2 linked regions of the Notamacropus eugenii genome follow. The protein of the gene in region 1 interacts with the protein of each later gene in a pairwise test. Links are inferred from orthologs where the notes say so. Each region holds a gene or a part of one and is shown on either strand. Other genes may lie near its edges.

Region 1 (7,819 bases):
TATACCAAACAAAACTACATCTGTTAATTCTCAAAATCCCAACACTTCTTCATCCCACTCAAGCTGGACAGATGGTTTGAGGAGGGACCCAGGGTGTTTCTTACATTTTTTTTATAGTGACCAACAGACCAAAAATTTTCTGAAGACTCTCCTGACTCTACCTTTAGCTACAAAATGCATTTTACTTCCTCCTAGATAACAAAGGGGTGGGAGAGGGGAAAAACAAAACTAACAAAGTAGGAGAACATGAGGGAGTAATCAGGCCACCATGGGTTAATGACAGCAACAGAAAAATAAAGCAGGAGGTCATCCCCAAACCCAGAGAAGTCTTGGGGGCATGCAGAGCTGGGAAAGCAAGCCAGTGAGAGGGGACCTCGGCACTGTCTCACCTTCCGCTTGTCCAATGTGGGTAGCGCTACCCCATTGGAACGGTTAAGGTCGGACACCAGCACCTTCAGAATGTCCTGAATCTACAAGAGGCGAAAAGGGAGAAACAAAAAGGGAAGAAGAGAGAAAGAGAGGTGGCTTAGAGGGAGGAGATAAGAGTTGGGAAGAGTGGAAGGGACAGGCTTAAGGAAATGGGGGTAAGGATGGGAACTGAAGGTGGCTAAGGTAAGGACCCAATCCATAGACAGCGGTTGGGGATAGCCTTCCTAACATCTACTTTTGGCCTTGTTTGGGCAAGGCCATGTTAACATAATCCAGAAAAGCTGGAGAGAAGTTCACAGAATCATAAAATCCTAAAACAATAAAGCTAGAAGTGCCATCTAAGAATACTTAGTTTATCTCTTTTACTTCTTTTAAACAGGTTCAGAGGAGTGAAGTGACTTGCACAAGTCATGCAGTGAGTAGCAGAAATGAGACAAGAATCTAGATTTCTTGATTTCCAATTTCCAGGTCTTTTTCTATTATATGACTTCACTCCCACCATGACTTTGCTAGTATGTCTTAAAGGGAAGGGCAGGTGGCTTGGTGCCGTTTTCATTTGTAACGCTTCTTCTGGGGATAGGGGAAAACTGTCAGCTGAGTCAGGTCACCCCTTTTTCTCCATCTTTCCAAGGGAGTGTTTCTAATTAAGACTCACATCCTCAGGAGAGTGTCGGTCGCCAGATGGAGGAGTCTCGGGGTTATTCCCATCTTTCGTTTTCCTTTTTTTCTTGGCTCCTGCTGGGGTACCAGGGCTGGTCTTCTGTTGATACTCCTTCAACTTTGGAGAGGAAAAGGTTAGGGTTGGAAATGGCAAGGGTCATGATCCAGGGTCCAGGACAGTGCAAATTATACAATGAGGTGGGCTCAAGAAGAAAGCATGTCAAACAGCTAGGTTTGGATTCCAACTTTGCCCAAAGGCTCTCTAGGTGCTGAGAAATGATTCACAGCTCAGATGCTCAGTTTCCTTAATAAGTCATACTTCCAAAGTGCTTTAAAGTTTACAAGGCATGTTCCTCAGAACTAGTTGGTAAAAGGGGAAATGACTTGCCCAGATAATTAAGTGTGAGAACCCGGACTCAGCCTCAGGTGTCCCAACTTTAAGTCCTTTGCTAACCTCTCAAAACTAACTTCTCTCCCAACCCTAACAGAATTCCTCTCATTTTAAGTCCTCTCCATTCCTCCAATAGGTGAGCATATATTATCCCAGAGGGCAATGAATGAAAAGGATTGTGGTTCCAGAAATTTAGGTAATAAGAGGGTGTGGTGGAAAGTTGAAAGAAAAAACCATGGACCTTTCAAAAGAGTTAGAATCTGGGCAGAAACAATCCTCTCATTCACTTTTCCAGCATGTTTTGAATCTTTGAGAACATAAGAATCAAGGAACTAGATAAATTTAGGATCTTACTAGCCATCGTTATCATCAATGTTAAGTCTCTGAATGTACACAGTGATGCAGTCACTCCACGTCTTTGGAACTCTTTTGAAAGTGTTCTCAAGGGGCTCAAGAACCTCCTCAGTTAGTCATTTAAAAAATCCCGTCCATTTCCCAGGCCAGAAGGTTCTAATGACAACTTGGGAAGGGGGATGGTGGCCCAACCTCATTCCAAGTCCTCCCCACGAGTTACTCCGAGAGAAACAATTATCCACTCCCCTATAATATTACCCTATATGTGGTCCTTCCACACACACCTTTCCCTACCCCACCTGCGCACCCCCCCCCCTCCGTCCCTAACTCTGGGTCTGAGGCAAAGGGAGTCCGATGCTGGGGGTTGGGCAGGGTGCAGAACAGGCTGGAAGAGGTTTGGGAAGGGCTCCGAGGGAGGAAGTCCAGGACGGCGTCGGATTCCCACAGAGCGGGCGGGGCAGGCCTGGCTGCTGGCGTGCCCAAGCCTTCACCTTGGGGCCCCTCCTGGGGTATCTGGGTTTCGGTGGGAGAGGGGACGAGAGGCTCCAGGGGCCCCGAGACGAGCAGAGGGCATCTCCCTCCAGGCACCAGCTGTGAGAAGGGGGGAGGCCTTTCCGGGAGGCCAACAGCTGGGCCTGACGTCACGGGTCGGGCCCAGGGAAAGAGTGTCACGGGCCCAAAGTCACCAAGGGGGCTGCGGGGGAGGGGCGTGGGGCGCCAGGGATTTAGGGAAGTCTTGGAGGGCGCGGGGCTCGGGACCTGTGGGGTTCAGGAACGGGGACCTGCGGGACTGGGGACGAGGACCCTGAGGAGATCGAGGAGGAACACGAGAAGGTGGCCCTCAGACACCGGCGGGGGAGACCCGAGAAGAATCAGGAGGACGATCTAAGGGATCCGGAAGGGGGTCTGAGAGAAACGAGGAGAGCCTGGATCCGGGAGGGGGTCTGTCAGGGTCCTGGCGGCGGGAAAGGAGGGGGCGGAGCCGAGCCCCCGAGCGCAGGGGCCGTCTCAAGAGCATTTACCTTCTTTTTGGCCGCCGCCAATTTGCTCTGCCGGGTCTCGTCCGCCATCCCGGGCCGGGGAGGGGGAAGGCGGGGGGGGCCACATCACCGTGATCCCGGCAACCACCGCGGCATTCCATCCAGCAGCCACCGCGCCGCACCCGCTCCTCCCATAGGGAGGGCGAAGGGCGGGGTCGGACAGCGCCGCGCTTCCCAGCGTCTGCGCCTGCGCCGCGTCACCCGCCCCGCCCCTCTGTACTTGGCTACAGTCTGTCCTCTCGTCTCGCGGTCTGCTCACGACTGGCGCCGACGCTCCGGGCTCCTGGGGAGCCCGCTCGTCCTGGTTCGGGTGCGAGCCTCAGGCCCGCCGCCGCTCTTCTCCTCGGCAGCCCTGGAGCCCCGCGCGCTGCAGAGACCCTCGGGAGGGGAGCCCGGGACCCCGAGCCTCCGGAGGTGCGGAGGGGACGACACTCATCGTAGACCTCTCCCCCCCCAAGATCCTACACCCTCTTCGGAAACCCCCTGCTCTGGAGACCTCAGCCCCTTCCAGTGTGCCTAGCACGGTGCCTGGCTCTTAGCGGGCGCTTAATAGATGCTTGTTCTTCCCCCTCCCCCCATCATGAGCACCGTCATTCCTTCTAAAGACCCCACCCTCCCCAAAGATCCCACCCGCTTCAGAAACCCGTCTTAAGATGACGGCCCCTCCTTTAAGAGACGCCTTCAGTGAACACCATCAGACGCCTCCCCTCTGAAGAAACCAACGCACAGATCCAGCCCTGCCATTGGCACCTTCCCAGAGACCCTCAGCTCCGTTGGGACCTCTGCCCTTTAGGGTCTGCTCCACCTGTGCTTGGTCTCCATCCCTTCCGCAATGCCGTGTCCTGAACAGCCTGATTCAGTTTCCCTTTGCCCAGCCGTCCTCACCCCAGGGGGTCCCCAAGCTCTCAAGTAACCTTGTAGGTTCTCCGCTCTTCCCACCCCCCTGGGTCCCTAACCACTCCTCTTCCTTGGTTGCTTTCTAGGGCACGCCTGGGACTCTCCAAACGGCATTCGGCAGCTTTTCGATCCCCCGTGAGTATGCCACAAGCTCTGCTGCCTGTCCCTGCCCTGTGCCACACAGGCAGTGTCTTTCCCCAGCCTGCTGGACCTCCTCAGTTACAGCGCAGCACTCCATTCCTTGATCTCTGATTCCAGAGCAGACGTTTTCCTAGCACTTTACCCAAACCTTGCCTTTCCTATCCTACCTCATACCTCCAGTGTCTCCTTCCGCTTGTATCAGATTCATGCCGTCGTCGTAGGTGTTTAATAAATACCTGATGAATTGAATGACTTATCTGCCTCCTACTTGACTAAGGTGATCCAGGAAGGATATCTGATGTTATTTCATCCAGTATTCTCTACCTCGAAATATTTCTGCCTCTAGCTATGTTTTCTCACCCTCACCCCTCAGATGAAGTCCCACCCAAAGCTAACCTCCCCTTGTGTCTTCTGCTTTCTTTAGGCCTTTCCTCCATAATTTCTACAATCTTTTCCTCCCAACTGGTTGCTTCCCCTCTACCTTTAAGTACACGGATCTCCCCAATCTTGGGAGAGAGGGGAAAAACAAACAAAAAACTTTATTTGATCTACTGCCCCCACTAGTTACATCCCTCCACTTCTTTGCCAAGCCTACCTTCTGCCTTCGTTACCCACTTGCTCTTTAACCCTTGGCAGTCTTATTTCTTAGATGTCCAGTGACTTTTAATTGGCAAACCCAGTGGCCTTTTTTTATCCTTCATTCTCCTTTACCTACTTGCAAAAAATTGATACTGTTCTCTCCTGACTCCTTGGAACTCTCTCTTGCCTCTTCAAGTCACTACTATTCTGCTTTTTCAGCCACTTGAGTATTCGTTCCTCTGGCGCCTTTTCCGCATTTCCCTGTTCTTCTCTTTGTCTTTCTGTAGTTGATAACTTACTTTGTGGTTTTCAATTGTCATTTATTTTGCTGTTTGATCAGTACTTCTGTTGATGACTTTCAGATCCGTATCTGTCATTCTGAGCTTTCAGATGAGTTTTACATTTCCAACTGCCTCCTGGATATTTTTCCGTTTGGATGTCTTACTTTCATCTCACTAGATGCACTCAGTGCATCTAAAATGATCTGTGTCTCCTTGTCAAAATTGCCCCTTCCTCTTGACTTCACTGTTTCTTTTACCATTTTCCATGTTTGAGAAAACACAGAAGCATCTGTGATCCTTCGCTCTCCATCACCTCCATGTTTATCAGATCTTGTATATTCTTTGTAGTGTTTTTCCCACCTGTAGCTTTTCATCTCCATGGATACAACCCCAGTTCAGGCCTTTACCTGAATCTTACCTATGACCACTTCATTCATGAACTCTTGGCCTCCTCGCTCTTACCATTACCAGCCTTGCCTCCAACCATCATTCACACTGCCATTTCTAGGTTAATTCTGCCAAAACACATCATATTACCCTCTAGCTCAAAAACCTGTAGTAATGCCTAAATAACTAAAAGATCAGTTTGATACTTCTGAACCAGGTATATAAGACTTTCTACAATCTGACCTTGTTCTACCTTTCTAACCTCATTTCTAAATACTTCTTTTGCTCTGGTCATACTGGTCTTATTGTCCTTGCAAAATGCTAAGTTTATTCCCACCTCTGTAGCTATATTCACTCCACTCTGCCCTGCCCTTTCTTTCTATCTGAATCCTACTCATTTTTCTATTTAAAAAAAATTACATAACACCTTGATTTTGATGTAATTTCAATACAAGCTAGATTAGATTGTTATTTTTATTGATACATTTTTAAAAACCAAAATCATGGTGGCTAACATTTACTGGCCCCAGCTCATTCTCAAGTTATTCAGTATCTGATATATCCTTATATCCCATGATTTATCTCCAGGGATACTCTCCATGTATACCTTCTCGATGAAAAACCCTTATAATCCTTTTATCATAACCTATCATTCCATCTCTCCCTATGGCTTACTCCTCCTAAATCTCTTCTTCATCTGATAATGACCTCTAGACCATCCACTGGTCAGTACTTTCTCAACTTTGATCTTACAGTTAAACAGTTTGACTACTTTTGGCCCTCTGATTTTGATTTCCTTGCTCCCTTGTCCTGTTGACAATCATGCCTTGCCCAAAATTAACCATGTATTCTTCCACCACCTTCCCCTTTTACTCCTGCTTGTGCTGCTGAACAAAACTAGAGAATATCGTGCAACCACGGTGACTGGATGCATTACCACTTTATATTATCTAATCTTAATAGGGCCCTCCCTGTAGCAAAGCAATCCTTTTATTCCTCCCTAATTGATGCTCTCTGTCCCTCTTTGCACAGAGGCTGTTTCATTTTCTTTCCTCAAACCTCCCATACCTCCCCATCTTTCCCACCCTCTCAGCCAAGGAGTTCAACTATTTTTTCATATAGTTTTAATATTTTTATTTTTAAAAATTTTATTTATACAATAAAATTATATATATAATTATATTTATATATTTTAAAAAAATATTTTATATTGAATGTTGGAGGGGATGTGGGAAAACTGGGAATCTAATACACCGTTGGTGGAGTTGAGAACTTATCCAACCATTCTGGAGAGCAATTTGGAACTATGCCCAAAGGGCTATAAAACTATGCATACCCTTTGATATAGCAGTACCACTCCTAGGTCTATATCCTAAAGACATCCAACAAAAGGGAAAAGGAACTATTGGTATAAAATATTTATAGCAGCTCTTTTTGTGGTGGCTAAGAACTGGAAATCCAAGGGATGGATGCCCATCAATTGGGGAGTGGCTAAACAAGTTGTGGTATGTGATTGTAGTGGAATATTATTGTGCTATAAGAAAAGGAAGATTTCAGAAAATCCTGGAAGGATCTATATGAACTCATGCAGAATGAAGTGAGCAGAAGCAGGAGCACACTGTGCACAGTAACAGCAATATTGTTCAATGAAGAACTGTGAATGAGTTAGCTATTCTCCTCAGTACAATGATCTAAGACAATTTCAAAGGACTAATGATAAGCATACTATCCACCTCCAGAGAAAGGAACTGATATTGATTGAATGCAGACTGAAGCATGCTATTTTTCACTTTCTTTCATTTTATTTTATTTGAGTCTGCTTGTCCAAAATGACTAATATGGAAATGTTTTACATAATTGTACATGTATAGCCTAAATCTGATTGCTTACCACCTCAGGAAGGGGAAGGACGGACAGAATTTGGAACTCAGAACTTTAAATAAAATGTTAAAAAATTAGAAAAACATTCATTTTTTAAAATTTTGAGTTCCTAGTTCTCTCCCTCCCCCCCTTATCCATTGAGAAGGCAAGCAATATTGTATTAATTATACATGTGAATTCATGTAAAACATAGCCTTGTTGCAAAAAAAAACCCAAAAAATGAAAAAAGTATGCTTCAGTTTGCATTCAGAGTTCATCAGTTCTCTCTGGAGGTGGATAGCATTTTTCTTTGAGAGTTTTTTGGAATTGTCTTGGATCATTGTATTTTAGGGTAGCTAAGTCTTTCACAGTTGAATGTCATTATAATATTGCTGTTACTATGTACCATGTTCTCCTAGTTCTGCTCACTTCACTTTGCATCAGCTCACATGAGTCTTCTCAGGTTTTTCTGAAACCATCACCTTCATAATTTCTTGTAGCACAATGGTATTCCATCATAATCATATGTCACAGCTTGTTTAGCCATTCCCTAACTGATAGGCATCCCATCGATTTCCAATTCTTTGCCACCACAAAATAAGCTTCTGTAAATAGCTTCATACATGTAAGTGCTTTTCCTTTTCCTTTGATCTCTTTGGGATATAGACCTAGTAGTAGTTTTGCTGGGTCAAAGGGTATACGCAGTTTTATAGGACTCTAAGACGTAGTTCCAAATTTTTTTCTTTGCTGGATCTTCATCCTGGTTTCCCTCCATCAACTGAGTATACACCAGGGCTTTG
Region 2 (7,416 bases), on another chromosome or scaffold:
GGAATAGTGTACCGGACCTGGAGTCAGGAAAACTCCATGAGTTCAAATCTAGCCTCAGCCATGTGGCTCTGGGCAAGTCACTTCACCCTGTTTGCCTCAGTTTCCTCACCTGTAAAATGAGCCGGAGAAAGAAATGGCAAACCACTCCAGTGTCTCTGCCCAAAAAAAACTCAAGTAGGGGCATGAAGGGTCAGGCAAGACTGGAAAATGACTAAATGAGAGGCAGCCTTGGATTCTGTACAAAGTAGGCTCTCCATAGGATTGACCCTACCCCAGGTGAAGAAAGGAGGGGCCGGTGTAGGTGTATGAACCTAGAAAACCCACACTGGTGCCTGAAAGCCCCTCATTGGCTCATCACTCCTCTGAGGTCAGCCTTCCTCCCCTCGAAGCCCCTCACAGAAGCTGAAAATCTCCCTGTGGCCCAGCAGGCAGAGTCCTGGCTCAAACTGGCAGCAGCCTCATTTTATAGATGGGGAGCAGGAAGTTGACCAGCAGTCCTTCCCCTGCCCCTCCCCCACCTCCTTGTCTTCTCAGTGATCAAAATAAATACAAAGAAGCTGCCCACCTGCTCAATGACGCTCTAGCCATCAGAGAGAAGACCTTGGGCAAGGACCATCCAGCTGTGAGTGAGGCCCGGCTCCCTGGGCTGGGGGTGTGGGGCGAAGAGGACCCTTGGCTGGCCAGGCCTCTGCAGCCGTTTTCCTCTCTTTGCCCTGGACCCAGGTGGCAGCTACCTTGAACAACCTGGCGGTTCTGTATGGCAAAAGGGGCAAGTACAGAGAAGCAGAGCCCTTGTGCAAACGAGCCCTGGAGATTCGAGAGAAGGTAGAACCCATCTGGGGGCCCCTGTCTCCCTGGGCCTGGGGGAGGAGCTGGGGGGGGTGCGTCAGGGCACAAGTGAAAGGAGCCTCCACCTTCTCCTAGGTGCTGGGCAAGTTCCACCCGGATGTGGCCAAGCAGCTGAACAACCTGGCCCTCCTCTGTCAGAACCAGGGCAAGGCCGAGGAGGTGGAGTACTACTACCGGCGTGCTCTGGAGATCTATGAGGCTCGGCTGGGTCCTGATGACCCCAACGTGGCCAAGACCAAGAATAACTTGGTGCCTGATCCAAGGGAGGCACTGGGGAGGGACAGCCAGGGCGCACTGTGGGCCCAGCATGGTAGGGCGGCTGGGGCCTCACTGTCTCCCTGTCTCCCCCTTCCTCAGGCCTCTTGCTATCTGAAGCAGGGGAAATACCAAGATGCAGAAACCCTGTATAAAGAGATCCTGACTCGTGCCCATGAGAAGGAATTTGGCTCAGTCAATGGCAAGTGTCCCCCCAGCCCATCCTGCCCTTTGGAAGGGGATGAACCTTTTAACCTGGTCTTGGGGCTCCAGGGCCTTGTGACAGCCCCTCCTTTCTGTCTTCCCCAGGAGACAACAAACCTATCTGGATGCACGCTGAAGAGAGGGAGGAAAGCAAGGTATGGGGAAGGAGAAACTCAGAGCTCAACTCCCCTTGGGGCTTGGCCCTTTCCTTCCCCAAGGTTTCACTTTTCCTCCCCTTCAGGAGAAGCATCAAGACGCCACCCCCTATGGAGAATATGGCAGCTGGTACAAGGCATGTAAAGTGGACAGGTGAGAGGAAAAACTGAACCCTGGGGGGTCTCGGGGGCTGGGGAGCAGAAACCGTGAGAACCCCTGGCTCATGCCCATTTTCTCCAGCCCCACGGTGAACACCACACTTCGGAGCCTCGGTGCTCTCTACCGCCGGCAAGGGAAGATGGAGGCAGCTCACACCCTGGAGGACTGTGCCACTCGCAGTAGGAAGCAGGTTGGCACAGGGCCTGGGAGGTCAGGGTAGGAGGCATCAGGGGCTTCTCAGCTTCACCCCCACCTCACCACTCTCCTCCTATAACCAGGGCCTGGACGCCATGAGCCAGACCAAGGTGGTAGAGCTGCTGAAAGATGGTGGTGGGCGAGGAGACCGCCGGAGCAGCCGAGAGGTTATTGGTGGCACAGGATCTCGAGCTGAGCCGGAGCCGGAAGATTTGGGGCCCACGGTCGAGTGGTCTGGGGTGAGGGGGCCATTGGGGATCATTGGGGGAGGTTAGGGTTAGGGTTTGGGAGGGGCAGGGACAGGAGAGCAGGCAAGCACAGCGTAGTGGTTCCTCTGCCCCCAGGATGGCAATGGTTCTCTCCGGAGAAGCGGTTCTTTTGGGAAGCTCCGAGATGCCCTGCGGCGCAGCAGTGAGATGCTGGTAAAGAAGCTGCAGGGGGGCGGCCCCCAAGAGCCTCCCAACCCCCGGTGAGAGCCCTCCCCCACCTGGCCCCCCTAGGCCTAGCCTCCCCTCAGCTGCCCCCCACTCCTGGGGATGTCAGCTCCTCCTCTCCTCCCACAGGATGAAGCGAGCCAGCTCCCTCAACTTCCTCCACAGGAGTGCAGAACAGACCAGCCAGGTGAGGAGGGCCTGCCCAGTCCATGGCACTATCACCAGGGGACCGTTTGTGACATGGGGTGCCAGGAGCCACAGTCCTGGCTGTGGGACCTTGCTCAGTTGGTCTCCTTGCCCATTGCTCTGGCTGATTCTCAGAGCCTGGTGCCACTTTGCCTTGCCTGCAGGAGATCCCTCAGCCAGCACCAACCTCTGCCCGATAAATGCTTCTCCAGGCCAACAGCCAAAGGTCTGACCGCTGCCCCAGCACCTTTTCTGCGGGGCCTTGGCCAGACATCCCCACGTCCTCCAGACCTTTCACCTGACTCGGGGTGGTTCCCACATGCAAAGACTCCAAGGACTAGCGGGAATGAGGTGGGTAGATCTTCTTCTAACCTTCCCTGTGTTTGCCCACAGTCCGACGCCAACCTGTCCGACAGCCGAGTGCTCAGCTCCAGCTCGCTTGACCTCTCTCGTCGGAGCTCTCTTGTTGGCTAAGAGGGAGGACTGGGAGGGCCTGCCCCCTCCCCAGCTCCTGGACCCTCCTTGGCTGCTCGTCATATCCCACGGGGATGGGGGGGATGCAGGGGGAGACCTGACCTCAGCTTTCCTCCTGCCCTGCTTCAGCCGCCCTTCCCCAAGGCTGTTTCCCACAGGCCCTCCTCCCCCACTGATTTTTTGTTTGATCTCAGGGTAACCTCTCCCGTGTCATTTCAGGCTTAGCAGCTAAAGGCTTATTCCCCTGCTCCCTGTCCTGTCTAGCACTGTTAGTCACACTGGGGACAGTGCAGAGAGGAGCCAGGATCCCCACCTCCTGTATTTATTTCTCTTCCCTTCCTCCCCGTGGAAGCCAGGAAAGTGAAGACCGGGCCCCTGGAGCCTCCGGCCCGGCCCACCTGGCCTTGGGGAAAGACAACACTAGGAACCTCCCCCACCCCGCTTCCCCAGGCCTCTGCTTCTGTATATAGAGAAATAAGTTATTGGCCGCTCCCTTCCCCATGCCCTGTCCGTGGTACCTTCCTTCACCCTTCCCCTTTCCTGGCCTTAAGCCCTTGCAGACAAGGTGTTGGACGCGCAAGTGCAGAAACCGGCCCCCCGTCCTTCCCACAGGGTGGGAGCCTGCCTTCTCGCCCCTGAAGCCCAGCAGCGTAGGACCCAGGCGCCCTGTCTCCGTCTATAAGAGCTGACACCGTTTTCTTAACTTTTCCCCTCTTTGTTGATCCTGGGCCTTAAAAACATGTCCTTTGAGCCACATTCCAGGGCCTTCCTGGCCCTTCCCTGCCCCCTCCCCAGGTACCACCTGCTGAGCCATTCCCGGACTCCTGCTGCTCCCAGGTCCCCCCCACCCCACCCCGGGCTCTGGGGGAGGGGACTGCAGTCCCCGCTTCGTGGCCGGGGCGGGGCGGGGAGCCCACATGCTTTGTTCAGACGTTGCTGTAGAAATAAAGACGGTTTGAATCCAGACGAGCCCAGTGTCTCAGTGGAAGCGGGGCCCTCGTGTTCGGGGGTGCGGGGGGGGGTTCGGGCAGCCGGGGGCTCGGGAACTCCATTGTCTCTGCCTTCCGTGGGGGCGGTCTGAGAATCAAACGAAGAAATACGGAGGTTTGGGTTCCAGCCCCCCCCCCCCCCCCCATTTTCACCGGAGAAACCTGAGGGTCGGGGGATTGTGGTAGGTGACGTGCTGAAAGGAAGGGGTGGAGCAGGAGATACGCGTAGGCTGAGGCTGTAGGTGCGAAGATTCTGGCTCCAATTGCCCCGGGAAAAGCCCCTTCCGATTGGGGGAGGGAGCAGGAAACTACAAATCCCAGAAGGCGGTACGGTGACGGGGGCGGTCCAAGCAAGGAGGCACGCTTGCGTCGCGGCGTCCGGCCGTCTGCGCAGTCGGGAAGGGGGAATGAAGTCAGGAGAGAACTACAAGTTCCAAGAGGCCGCGCTGTGCGACAAAGAGAAGGGAGGGCCTGCGCCTGCGCCTGCGCAGGGGGCGGAGTCTCGGGGGCGGAGCCGCCGCCATCTTGGAGCGGGAGGCGGAGCGAAGCAGACAGGGAGGGAGCGACCGACCGGGGCCGCTGCCGCCGCCATGAACCCCGAGTAGTGAGTGACCCTTGTCCGAACCCCAGCCCCTCGGACCGGGGAGGCCTCGGGCCCCGCGTCCGTGACTTGTCCCCATCCCCTCATCGGGCCCCCGCCCGGGGTCCCCGCTGCCCTTCTCCCTGACATCCGGGTTCCTGCCCTCGGTGACCCCCCCCCCTCACATCCGGGTCTTGCAGGGAGGGGGTGCTTAGCCTGGACCCCCCACGTCCCCCTAGCCTGAGCTGGGACCGAGAAGGATGCAGTCCCCGCTCTCCCTCTCTCCATCCTCTTTCTGTCCCCCCAACTCCCAGGAGTTGGGAGGGCCATGGGGGCCCTGGACTTTTCTAGGTTCAGGCCGAAGCCCCCCAAACAGACCCACGTCCCTCCGGGCCCCCCCATGTGAGCATAGCGGGAGCCCCCCTCGAATCTCGTCTCCCTCCAGCAAGGGGGCGTGATGGGGGGTGGGGGGCCGGACGCCCGGAATGCCCATCAGGCCCTCCCGGTGTGGACCTGACTTACTGGTGTCTCCAGTGTAGACAGAACTTGACTCCTCTACAGCCCCAAGTGTGGACCCGGCGCTAAAAATTGTGCCGAAGTCAACCTAAACCTCAGCAAGCATTTATTAGACGCCTACTGTGTTCCAGGCACCCAGCAGACAAACGAGATGCTCCCCTCGAGGGCCACGTAATCCCCTGGGAAGAGACACATTAAGTGAATGCCAAGCAAATTCAGAGTGATTGAGAGGGCCCTGCCCTCTGAGGACAGACCCCCAAGGCCTCCCAGCCCAGGACCCCTCCCTCCCCTCCCCCACCCAGACTCGGGGCTCAGTCCCCCTCCTCTCCCCATACCCCAGGCCGGGACCATTGCAGGACCTGTTGGTGGGGTCCATCCTCCAAACGGAGGATGCCACCAAAGGGATTTTCCTAAAGCTAGGGTCTCCCTCCCCCCCTCCCAGTCAGTTACAGAGGCTCCCTGTCACCTCCAGGATCAAATAAAAGCTGTTTGGTATTCAGAGCCTTCCTAATCAGCCCCCTGGCTCCCTTTCCAGGCCCTCCTGGCCGCTCCTCCAACAAGACCCGCCATCTCTGGACTCCGAGGCTCCAATGCTTGCCCCTCATCTCTGACCACTGACCCCCATGGCTTCCTGCAGGCCTTCCCTGGGAGGCTAGCCCCAGTGCCATCCTCTCTACATTTTGTCTACTTGGTTGTGTGGCAGGCTGTCTCCTGGGCAGGATCTAGGTTATTGTGGGCCTTCGTATTCCCACAGTTCCTGGAACACAGTAGGTGCTTAATAAACACTGCCCTGGTGAGGAAAGAGTATCCTCCAGGCTTGGGGAAGGCCTTTGCAAAGGCAGGAGAGCCATGCCAGGTTGGCAGGCTGGGGCAGCCTCGTTGGCAAGATGGAGGGAAAGGAACGAGAGGGTAAAGGAGGAAGAGGAGCTTGGAAACCTGTGCCATCCTAAACATGTGGAGAGATGAGTGTGATAGAACTGCCCTTAGGGCTGGATCATCTGTATCATGGTGATGATTGAACTCATGGGAGCTAGAGAGAGAACCAACAGGCTTTTCTATTAAGTACCATGGCCAGGCCAGAAGTGGACCAGTCCCTGCCCTGTCTGGGGGGAGCATGGATAGAGGTGTGCTCAAATGTATACAAAATGGAAATAAGGTCACCTGGGGGAAGGGTCCTGTAAAGCTTTGTGCATTAGGAGGAAAGGCCTGGGCATAGCCAGTGCAAGGTAGGGGGGAGGCTCAGAGAGGTTTGTGAGCAGGAGTAATGGGCTGAGGCTGGAAAGGGACGTGAGGGCTAGACTGGGAAAGGCTTTATTTCCAAATGATAGGAGTCTACATTTGAGCTGAGAAATATTAGGGAAGCAAGAGGGACTTAGCTTTGGCAGCTGGCTGGAGGCTGGATTGTGGTGAGGAGAAGCCGTCAGGAGGATGGTGGCCACGGCAGGGAGGGGTGTATTTAGGCCAGGACAGAGCCCTGGGGCACACTCACCAAAGAGCCATGGAAGGAGGCTAAGGAAGAGGACCATGAGAGGCTCAGAGAGTCATGTCCCTTCCTGCAAAGACCTCTGTGGCATGAGAGAGCAAAGCTGTTGGCTTGAGCAGACATGAGATGATTGTCCAGGGGTGACACCTCTGGCCAGACCCCAAGGGGTTAGGAATGACTGAATGGTAGCAGAAGGAGGGGACCAGAAGTAGATACTTCACCCTTTCTTGGAGTTTGGCTGGAAAAGGGAAGACAGAGGATGAATGTTTCCATAGGGAAAGTGAAGGAGAATCTGAGATCTGCCCCCATACTCTGGCTGCCTCAGCAGCCCCTGCCTCCTGCCCCCATCTTTACTTTCACTCCCTTTTGGGTGCCTTCACCACTTCTGAGGCTCCCAGGGCCAGGAATCTTAGTGAACTTGCCAGGGAGCTGGAGCCCTGATTGCAGCCTCTGCCCGGCTTCTTCCCCTGCTTGGTGCTGTGAACCTGGGCACACAAACAACCCCATCTTTATTTTCACTAACCTTTAAGCAATATTGAGCATCTCCCTTCATTATTTACAAATGCTGTTCTGAGAAAGGGTCTGGGGGCTTCGCTGAGCTGCCAAAGGGTCCATAACACGAGGCTACAGGCCCTGGGTCAGAGCCTTTCCTGCAGACCCTACACCACATGGAGCCTCCTCCTTTAGTACACACCAGTTTCTTCTTGTCCTTTTCAGTAGTTTTTTCTCTTATTTTTAAGTCATGATATTTTTAAAAGCTGATCTGTCCCTTCCACTAGCCCTCCCCACCATGACTCCCTCCTCCCATCCCTTCATCGTCTAAGTGCACGTGTTTGGGGGATGTTCAGCCCCTCACACAACAGCCAGACCAGGCCTCAGCTGCCCCACGGGCCATTTCCCACAGGCCTTCTGTCATTTTCTCTTTCTCACTGTCTT

Evidence for each region.
Region 2: the proteins of GOLGA2 (region 1) and RAB1B interact in a two-hybrid assay, tested with the Homo sapiens proteins (2 studies listed by BioGRID and IntAct). The link is inferred for Notamacropus eugenii from reciprocal best matches to the Homo sapiens genes GOLGA2 and RAB1B.

What each region holds. Positions count from the first base shown.
Region 1 is NC_092872.1:479,583,192-479,591,010, forward strand, and holds the start of GOLGA2 (golgin subfamily A member 2), read right to left. Parts: upstream 3,083-7,819; 5' UTR 2,905-3,082; coding exon 2,857-2,904; intron 1,208-2,856; coding exon 1,085-1,207; intron 471-1,084; coding exon 390-470; intron 1-389. UniProt on the Homo sapiens protein: Peripheral membrane component of the cis-Golgi stack that acts as a membrane skeleton that maintains the structure of the Golgi apparatus, and as a vesicle thether that facilitates vesicle fusion to the Golgi membrane.
Region 2 is NC_092873.1:18,876,056-18,883,471, forward strand, and holds the start of RAB1B (ras-related protein Rab-1B), read left to right. Parts: upstream 1-4,393; 5' UTR 4,394-4,491; coding exon 4,492-4,505; intron 4,506-7,416. Other genes in the region: KLC2 (kinesin light chain 2), read left to right, coding at 535-622, 724-825, 925-1,098, 1,207-1,306, 1,414-1,463, 1,550-1,617, 1,705-1,813, 1,902-2,057 and 3 more. UniProt on the Homo sapiens protein: The small GTPases Rab are key regulators of intracellular membrane trafficking, from the formation of transport vesicles to their fusion with membranes.